Linked DNA regions of Macaca mulatta. The protein of the gene in region 2 interacts with the protein of the main gene of each other region in a pairwise test. Links are inferred from orthologs where the notes say so. Each region holds a gene or a part of one and is shown on either strand. Other genes may lie near its edges. The genes, in order: ERG28 and AQP2.

Evidence for each region.
Region 1: the proteins of AQP2 (region 2) and ERG28 interact in binary tests that used the Homo sapiens proteins (3 or more experiments, as listed by UniProt). The link is inferred for Macaca mulatta from reciprocal best matches to the Homo sapiens genes AQP2 and ERG28.

The regions. Positions count from the first base shown.
Region 1 is NC_133412.1:148,867,460-148,871,836, forward strand, and holds the start of ERG28 (ergosterol biosynthetic protein 28 homolog), read right to left. Parts: upstream 3,091-4,377; 5' UTR 2,681-3,090; intron 1-2,680.
Region 2 is NC_133416.1:57,123,727-57,128,265, reverse strand, and holds the start of AQP2 (aquaporin-2), read right to left. Parts: upstream 3,079-4,539; 5' UTR 2,994-3,078; coding exon 2,634-2,993; intron 1-2,633. UniProt on the Homo sapiens protein: Forms a water-specific channel that provides the plasma membranes of renal collecting duct with high permeability to water, thereby permitting water to move in the direction of an osmotic gradient. Plays an essential role in renal water homeostasis.

The DNA.
Region 1 (4,377 bases), on a different chromosome or scaffold from region 2:
CACCACGGACTGAACAGAGGCCCTCTTGGCCTAGGGGAACCCAGAAAAATCCTAAAACTGAGCCCCTGGCCATGACGAGATGGGAGGTCTCACATGCCCTGCTATATCCCTTCCTTTTTCAGGTTTAGAGACAGCAACTTACCAGCATTAAAGTTAAAATAGAGATCATAAGAATGACAGAACAGATTCTTTGTGCAATAAGGTACCAAATTATAAACAAGACCTAAGGCCATGCCAGGCAAGGGTTAAGTCACACACTCCCACATTTAAAGAATAAAACTTATATTCTGCCACAAGGTTTTTTTTCTCCAGCAGCTAGACAAGCACTGGCTTGAGATAAGCAATATTAAAACAATTACAGCTCATCCAGCTCACAGAGGCTGACTACATGACCCCTATTCCACCAGCTATAACTACACCTTTGATTGGACAAGAGACTGATTTTAGTAACTTTCTCCAGATAAGACCACCAACCGTGGACTGCTCCTGGCCAGTTTAGCAAGATCACACACTTGAGTGTCTTGGTGTCCTGAAAAGACTTTTTGACGCATAGAGCCTAGGCGTGATAGACTTAAATGTTAGGTCTCTACTTCAAAGTGAACAGGGGTCATATGTGGTTACACATGATTGTTCAATATGCACGTGTCAGGACCACCTTCAGGAATATTCATAGTTCCTCCTGTAAGCTGTTGAACATGTATGTTTAGCCAACCTGTTCAGCATAAAGCTCTACCCCAAACCCTTCTCCTTCAAAGCACCTGTCTCTGATCTTAGTGGGAGGCACTCTTCCCTGTTGGGTGGCTGTAACCCTTTGCAAGAGATAAAGCCTCTTTTCTTTTTCCAAATTTATAAATTGTGCCTGTTTAAGTTAACGTGTGACTTTAGGACTAGTAAGAAAATTATATAGTGAAGGAAACAGCAATCTTGGTGTTGGGCTGCAAGATAATAATAGGTCACAGTTCACTTACACCATGAACTGTGCCAAGCACCTAACACATATTACCATTTAATCTTCACAATGAGGTAGGCAGGCACTATTAATATTTCCATCTTATAGATGAGGGTTGGAACGGAGAGGTTAAACAAGTTTCTTAAGGTCACACAGCAAAGTCAGCAGAGCTGAGATAAGAATCATGGTCTGTTGGACTGCTGCAGTGCTACCTCACTGTTTGAGACTACTTTAATGAAGTTCCCATTTTTTGATTAAGAAAAGCATACCATATCCTCTTCTGTCTTCAAGTTGTATAGAAAATACAATTAGATTACATACTTTTTATTTTTTAATTTATTATTATTATTATTATTTTGAGACAGGGTCTTGCTCTGTCACACAGGCTGGAGTGCAGTGGCGTGGTCATGGCTCATTGCAGCCTCGAAATCAAAGGCTTAAGTGATCTTCCCACCTCAACCTCTCCACTTGGGCTCAAGTGATCCACTCACCTTGGCCTCGCCTCCCAAAGTGCTGGGATTACAGGTGTGAGCTACAGCACCCAGACTTTTATTTTTTTAAGGCTTAGATCAACTCTTGTTGAGTAGTAATTTCAGTTAGTCTGATTTAAATAAAACCAAAATAGATAAATAATCTAATAATGGAATGGCTTTTTCCCATCCTCATCACTATTTTCTCAGTCTATGGTTTATCTGTTGTCAGGTTAACCTCTTGGGCCTGAAGTGGTAATAAACTAACAGGCTTTCTTTGTCACTTTGGCAATATAAATTTCGGTATTGTTCTATGCTACCCAGTGAGATAGATATTAAAGTCAGCAATGGTCCAAGACAGTGTGAAACACCCTCCCCCCCCCAAAAAAAAAAGCAATAAAGAGATCTAGAGAAGGAAGGGTGAATTGATGAACCCTTCAGGGAGAGCTGATCACAAAGGTGGTCTCTGTCAGAGACTGAGAGTCTACTGGATATCATAGGCCATTATCACTTGGGCCAAGATCCACCTATCCTCTTTATTTTCTCACCCTCTCTCAAGAGGAGACTCCTCCGGGGTTTAGAAAAGCTGCATGAATGCACCTCTCCACTTTTCTGCACAAGTACGCCTTCCATTTCACAGAAGCTCTTAGGAATCCCAACAGATAGCTGATGAGGACAGAACCTGAGTACTTCTGAATTGCTCTGCCAATTTCTCAACCTAATTTCCCTAAAGCTTTAGGGCCTCCTAGAGTGTATATAACATCTATTTCCAAATTTTGTCCTGGCCCTGGCCCAGCCCAGCCAAGCCCAACCCAGCCCAGCCCAGCATAGGTGTGCTGTTAAAACTTAATCAGGAGAGAGGGATTCTTATCTTGGCCCTACCACTTAGTAGCTGTGTGACCCTGGGCAAGTCATTTACACTTTTCAGTCTCGGTTTCCTCATCTGCAAAATGGAGATAGAAATATCAACCCGAAGGGTTATTGTAAGAATCATATGAGAAAAAGTGAAGGCTCTTTGTACAGTGCTAGGCTTATAGTGGCTGCTCATTCGCTCATCCATTCCTTCTTTCCTTGAATTCACCAGCCTTCTCCATCTTCCTAGCTCCCCCTTGTCATCGCCTCTCGAACCCTTTTCCCCCCAAAAGGTTGCCTTCCAGGTATCTTCCTTCCATCTCACCTCTATTTTTCCAGATTCTCCGATCCTCTCAATCAGAAGCAACACAGACACCTACATCCCTCTTCTCCCCCATATTCTCCTTACCTGGCGACCGGACCCCCAGCACAGCAGTGGCAGCAGCAGCCGCCGCAAACAAGCTCCCCCAGGACAGCTCCAGCCCGGAGTCCACCTGAGCCATTTGTCCCCACCCCCTCCCTCAGCCCTGCTCCAGGATTGGGTCGTTTCCTTTAGTCCTCTCTCTGATTGGCTGTCCTGGTTTTGCCCGAGCAGGAGATGGGGAGTGAACCCCTTTACTGCCAATCAGCGGTTGCCGCTGCCTAAGCCTCTCCCCAGGTACGCCGCTCACGCCGTAAACCCTCCTGTTGGACCTAGCGGAACTCCGGGTTTGGAGTCAACCTCTTAGGGGCGGAGAAAAAAACAGCGGAAAAAAAAAAAAAAGACTTTCTGCTGAGGGCAGGGCTCTGCGCCCGCGCTTCGCGGCGGTGACGACATTCGCCCGCGTCCGCAGCTGAGCGTTATCAGCGCCTGCGCAGTGGCTCCCAGCGGGCGGTTGCTTGTTGGTTGTTGTAGTAACCGGGGAAGCGCCGTCGGCGGCTGCCCTGAGCCTTGCTGGGGAAGGAAGAGGGAGGTAGGCGCAGAGCGCGGTCCACGCCTACTCGCCCCGAACCATGGGAAGATGAGACAGGTAAAAGCCTGCGCCAGCGCGCATCCCTACCCTAGGGAGGAGCGTTCCCGGGTCCAGGCTGCAGCTGGCCGCCGCACTTCCCGCTCAGAGCCGGGGAGTAGCTGTTGGCTTCCGGGCGCGCCGCGTTGATTCGCGGCAGCCGAGTGGTCCTGTCCTTTCCGGGGGGAGCATCTGCGGACCTCCGTGGAATTGGGGTGAGCTGGGGTTGGGGCTGAGAAGCAGATTCCTTTAGGGCGAGGAGTGTTCTTAGGCGAATGTCTTTAATCTTCCGATCGACCTGTTTCTCCCCGCTCTGCAGGCAGCCTAGGAAAGGTTGGCATCCCTTCCCGTTTAGAGGTTTTGTTTAAACTTAAAGGACTTCCCAACATTTTGGGAAAGATCAAGAAATCCCCCTTGAGAATCCCCTGAAGAAAGCCATTGAAGTCGTTAGACATTGCCCATTGCGCCGAAGATCATTATCGGGGTCGGTTTTTTTGTTTTTTGTCTGATTTACAGTCTCATCGTATTTATGAATGTATGGAAAAGTTAAGAAGGATTGACAGCAAGTAATTATCGCTGAGTAATGGGATTATGGTCATTTAAACATATTCCTTTTCTTTATTTGTAGTTCCTATTTCTTCTTCTGACACACAAAACGACCATGTACTTTTTACTTTGGAAAAAATATTTTAAGTTAGAAATGCAGTGTTGGAAATTTTCCAATTTTATTGTCTATTTGAGAGTCATATCAAAGTTTGTGATTTTTAGTAAGGAAGAATAATTTTTAAGAGTGGAAGGGCATTCCCCCCTCCCCCCCAACCATTTATATGGACCTTTGATTCAAGAGAATATATTCATCTTTCGGTTCATTGTTGAATTTATTTTACGGGAAACATGATGGCATCTTGTCAGAGTGCTTGTCATAGAGTCTAAATAAATATTTTCAAGGTTTTTTTTTTTTTTTGAGACGGAGTTTTCGCTCTTGTTGCCCAGGCTGGAGTGCAATGGCGCGATCTTGGCTTACTGCAACCTCCGCCTCCCGGGTTCAAGCGATTCTCCTGCCTAAGCCTCCCGAGTATCTGGGATTACAGGAATGAGCCAACACACCTGGCTAATT
Region 2 (4,539 bases):
TTCAACGGCCTCAGGAAGCTTTGGACTGGTTAGCAGGAAGACCTTCCCCTCTCTCTAGACCATCAGACCCTGGTGCAATGAGAGGCCCGTGGTCTGTCTTCCTGAGGTCAAATGGCTCCCAGGGACAGGACTTGGGTCTAGGGGATGGTCCTAGTGTGCCCCTTTCTGCTATGAGTCCGCCATACACCTTTTTCCTTAACCCTTGTCTATTCTCCACTGCCTTTCAGGCCTCAGCTTTGCCCTGTTGGTTTGCTCCCTGCACATCCTATGGAGGTTGGGGTGAGGGCCCCGGAGCTGTGTCGGACAATGCCTCCACACCCATGTAGGTTGCCCATGGTCTCAGCAGACCCTGCCTTGGGTAAGGAGAGAACTCGGGGCTGAGTAAAGAGGTGATTTCATAACTGGGCCACACCCAGCACTGGATTTCTCCTTGGGTTTTGTCACCCTGTGCCCTACGCCCTGCCTTCTGGGACTGGGCACCATGCTGGGTGGAACAGTGACAGCTCTCAGCTCCCACGCTCTTTCTCCAGGCCCTGAACCCCCACCCCTGGGTCCGAGACATCAGGTCAGAACCCTTGGGTCTCTCTAGGGTCTAACCTCAATCCCTTCTGTTGTTGTCCAATGCAGAGTCTCTAGAGGACAGTGAAAAGAGCTTTGGAAGCAGACACTTTAGAGGCCTCTGACTTGCCATGAGACTATTTAATTTGGCCTCAGTTTCTCCTTCTGCGAAATGGGAAAACAAAATGGATTCTGGAGGATGGTGGGAGGACTGGAAATGACTTATTGGTTCTGTGACTTGGATCAATTCACTATTGAGCCTCAATTTGCCACTCACAATAGGGGGGAACCACAGAATTTCCCTTATAGCATTGTACCAATGATGAGATGATAGCTGGCCTGGCACAGGGCAGGTGCATGTCAATGATTAAATTCCTGGTGGCCAGGCTAGCTCTTAGTGTCCTCAAAGGACACATGGGATGGTCTTGAGGATCATCTGGCTCTCTTTAGCCTCAGGGTAAGTTGGTCCCACCACTGCCCCATTACATCCAGGCAGGGTTCTCCCCAGGTCCTCAAGGTAGTAAATGCTGAGAAGTGGCATGGAGGAGTCCTCCCAGACCTTTCTCTTCTGAGGGCCCCAGTCAGTTGTGAAATGATGGAGGAGGAGGACTGCATGTTTCCCATGGCCTCTCACTCCCAGTGCCCTGCTATTACAGAAGAACTTCCTGGTCATGCTCTCAGGAAGTTCCTTTTTCAGTCTAACTGGACCTCTTCTTGCTGTAAACTGAACTAATTTTGTTCTCAGAGGAAAAGAGCCCACTCCTCTGCTTGCCCACCTAGCCTGTCCTTGGCCCCTGGCCCCCAACCTTGTCACAATTTCATCTTTAAAGAACAGAGCCTTGGTGTGGTGGCTCATACCTGTAATCCTAGCACTTTGGGAGGTGGAGACGGGTGGATCACTTGAGGTTAGGAGTTCGAAACCAGCCTTACCAACATGGTGAACCCTGTCTCTACTAAAAATACAAAAATTAGCTGGGTATGGTGGCACATGCCTGTAATCCCAGCTACTCGGGAGGCTGAGGCAAGCGAATGACTTGAGGTGGAGGTTGCAGTGAGCTGAGATTGTACCATTGTACTCCAGCCTGGGCAACAGAATGAGACTCCATCTCAAAAACAAAACAAAACAGAGAAGTTCCCTAACTGGGATACCCCTGTCCCACAAATGAGGAAGGGCTGCCTGTGCAGAGACGCGGGCGGCCACAGAGATTGTGCAGGACTTGTCAGAGACATCAGGACTCTTGTCCAGTGGCCCAGGGATGGAACAGGCCAGGAAATGCTGGAGACTGAGGCACAAAAGAGGCACTTGCTGTCCTGGCTTAGGATGGGGGTACAGAGTGAGAGTTGGTCTGTTGGGAGCACAGGTCGTTCCTCCACACTCATGTCTCTTGGATTCACAGGGCCCACACAGACCTGAGAGGGGAAGGGGGTGGGACATGGGGGAAGGGACTGTGGCACCACCCTCAGCTCCCGAAGGGCCCACGGGGCCCAGTTAGCACCTGTATCATGTAATCAGCAGCCAGCTTATGGGCTCCGGGGACCTCGTCAGGGTTTGGAGAAGGAAGTATGCCCATTGCTGCTTGTAGGGCTATGGTGTGTCTGAGCCTGACCTGTAAGGAGCACCTGCCATAGGGCCTGCAAACCCTCAAAGCAGAAGAAAGGCTGGGCCCCTCTTCTCTCTTGAGGACCCTGTCATGAGCACTCCAAGGCTCCCCGCAGCTTGGAAAGCATGTCTGCTTGGGACACTAACCCCTGCTGAGTTACAGCCTGGTCCTCACTATAACGGAGGCACTGAGTCCAACAGAAACCCAGATGAGGCTTTTCCTGCACGACGGTCAGGGTGGAAGAAGCCTGCAGTCTGTCTGCATCCTGCCTTTGCTCTGGTACCATTGCTCCTTTCATCCTGACCCTCCTATGGTGGCTATGTTCCTGACTCCAGGCTCTGTCTCTCTCTGTCTGTCTGCCTCTGTCTCCATCTCTCTCCCCACCTCACCCAGAGCCCTTCCCTCCCATCTCATCCCTTACAAGGGATTCCCCAGGATCTGCCCCTTGTGGATGGCAAAGTTGTGGCTACTTACAGCATTGACAGCCAGGTCCCCGCGGATGTCTGCTGGCGTGATCTCATGGAGCAGAGCGGCTCCGGCCACAGCCCCCAGCAGCTGGGCAGCCACGTAGAAGGTGGCTCGGAGAAAGGAGACATGGCAGCCCACCAGGCAGGCCACAGTCACGGCTGGATTGATGTGGGCCCCGCTTATGTGGCCCAGAGCCTGTACCAGGGTGCCAATACCCAAGCCAAATGCCATGGCGATCTGTAGCACAGAGGGCAGGGCCTGTGGCCAGTTGAGGGCCGAGCCGAGGCCAAAGAAGACGAAGAGGAGTGTGGCCAGGAACTCTGCAAACACAGCCCTGGAGAAGGCTATGGAGCGGAGCTCCCACATGCTGCGGAGTCCTGCGTGGCTGGCCCGGCCGTCTCAGGGCCAGGAGGCTCTGGGCACTCTCTTTCGCTCTCTACCGCTCTCTTTCTCAAGGCCTCTGGGGAGGCTGGGTTGTGGGCATTTATAGGGTACTTCCATCCCGGATCTGGGCACGTGGTGGGGAGGTGGAGTCGTTGAGGCCAATACCTCTTCTCCATGGCGGCCTCTGCCCCCATGCCCCATCCCAGCCCACCCACGTGCCTATCACCCTATCTTAGCCTTCACAGCTGACTGATGTTCCCCATTTAATGAGCTCCAGATAAGGACTGACGTCCCTGGTTTTCCGTGTTTGTTCCCTTGGTTACCCCAGGGCTGCTGCCCCAGGGCCTCTCCCAGCCCCCACGGGGTCTTGTGAATGGGAACCTCTGGTGGGGATTGTGCCCAGTGCCCCTCTCTCTGACTCGAACTGTTGACCAAGGCAGGGGCAATACCTCACACAAAACTAAGAGTGTGTGAGTGCTGCTCCTTCTGGTAACTGGGAAGTTCTTCTGTCAGACCTCCAATTACTCCTGCTTCACAGGGATGGAAAACAACTGGTTGGCTTGTGACAGATTTCCAGGGCATAAAGGTTTGTGTCTTCTGCGTTTGCATTCTTGCAGCTAATCACCCATAAATCATTAAGCTTCACCTTCTCCTGGGAGCCCCAGCCAAATAGCAGCTCCTAGAGCCTGGGGGCACTGGGACCCTGGCCCTCGGTGATGGAGTCAACCTGGGGGCGGCTGAGGAAGCTGAGGGTGTCCATTCTGGCATCAGCCTGTTCCATCTATGTGACTTAACCTTTCTTGTCTTTCTCTGTAAAATGGGAAGAATAAAACTGACCTAGTGGATTGGGGTTTGGATTGAATGAAACAATGTATGTCAAGTGCTCAGAGCAGCGCCTGGTCCACAGTAGGTGGTCAATGAATATCAGCCCTTCCTTACAGTATTATTTACACTTTGAGGAGAACAGGTCTTTGCACACTCATGTGTTGGGGTCCCAGAAGCTGTGACAGGTCCTAGGAACCCCGAGGAGCTTAGGGCCACTCTGGCCACAGGAGAAAGACATTTCTGTGGGGCAGTGAGCTGTGCAGGCTCGGGGCGGCTATGATGGCTGATAAGCAGCTCTCTGGCCTTGGTGCCCACTCAGCCCAGCATCTGGGCAGTGCTGCCTCCTGCTATCAATGCCGCTGTGGCTACTGGGGTCCTGGAAGTGTTCAACTCTAGAAGTTTCCCCAGCCCCACTCACTGGCCCTTCCCTAATCCCTCCAGCCTCGCTCCCCCTCCTGGGGATTCACAGCAGGGTTGGGCTCAGAGTGGGGGCAGAAGGATGGGCTTCTGCACCCTGCCCTAGCTCCTGTCCAGCAGGTCCCTGGGCAAGTCACAGTCCCAGCAACAGAAATCTGGGAGAGATTGGAGACTGGAGTGGACCGCTTTATGTTGTATCATGGGGATGTGGGGTGAGTGTAGGCCCGGGGAGGGGAGTGACTCATCTAGGGTGCTCCAGCAGGTTAGTGGCTGAGCTGGGACTGAG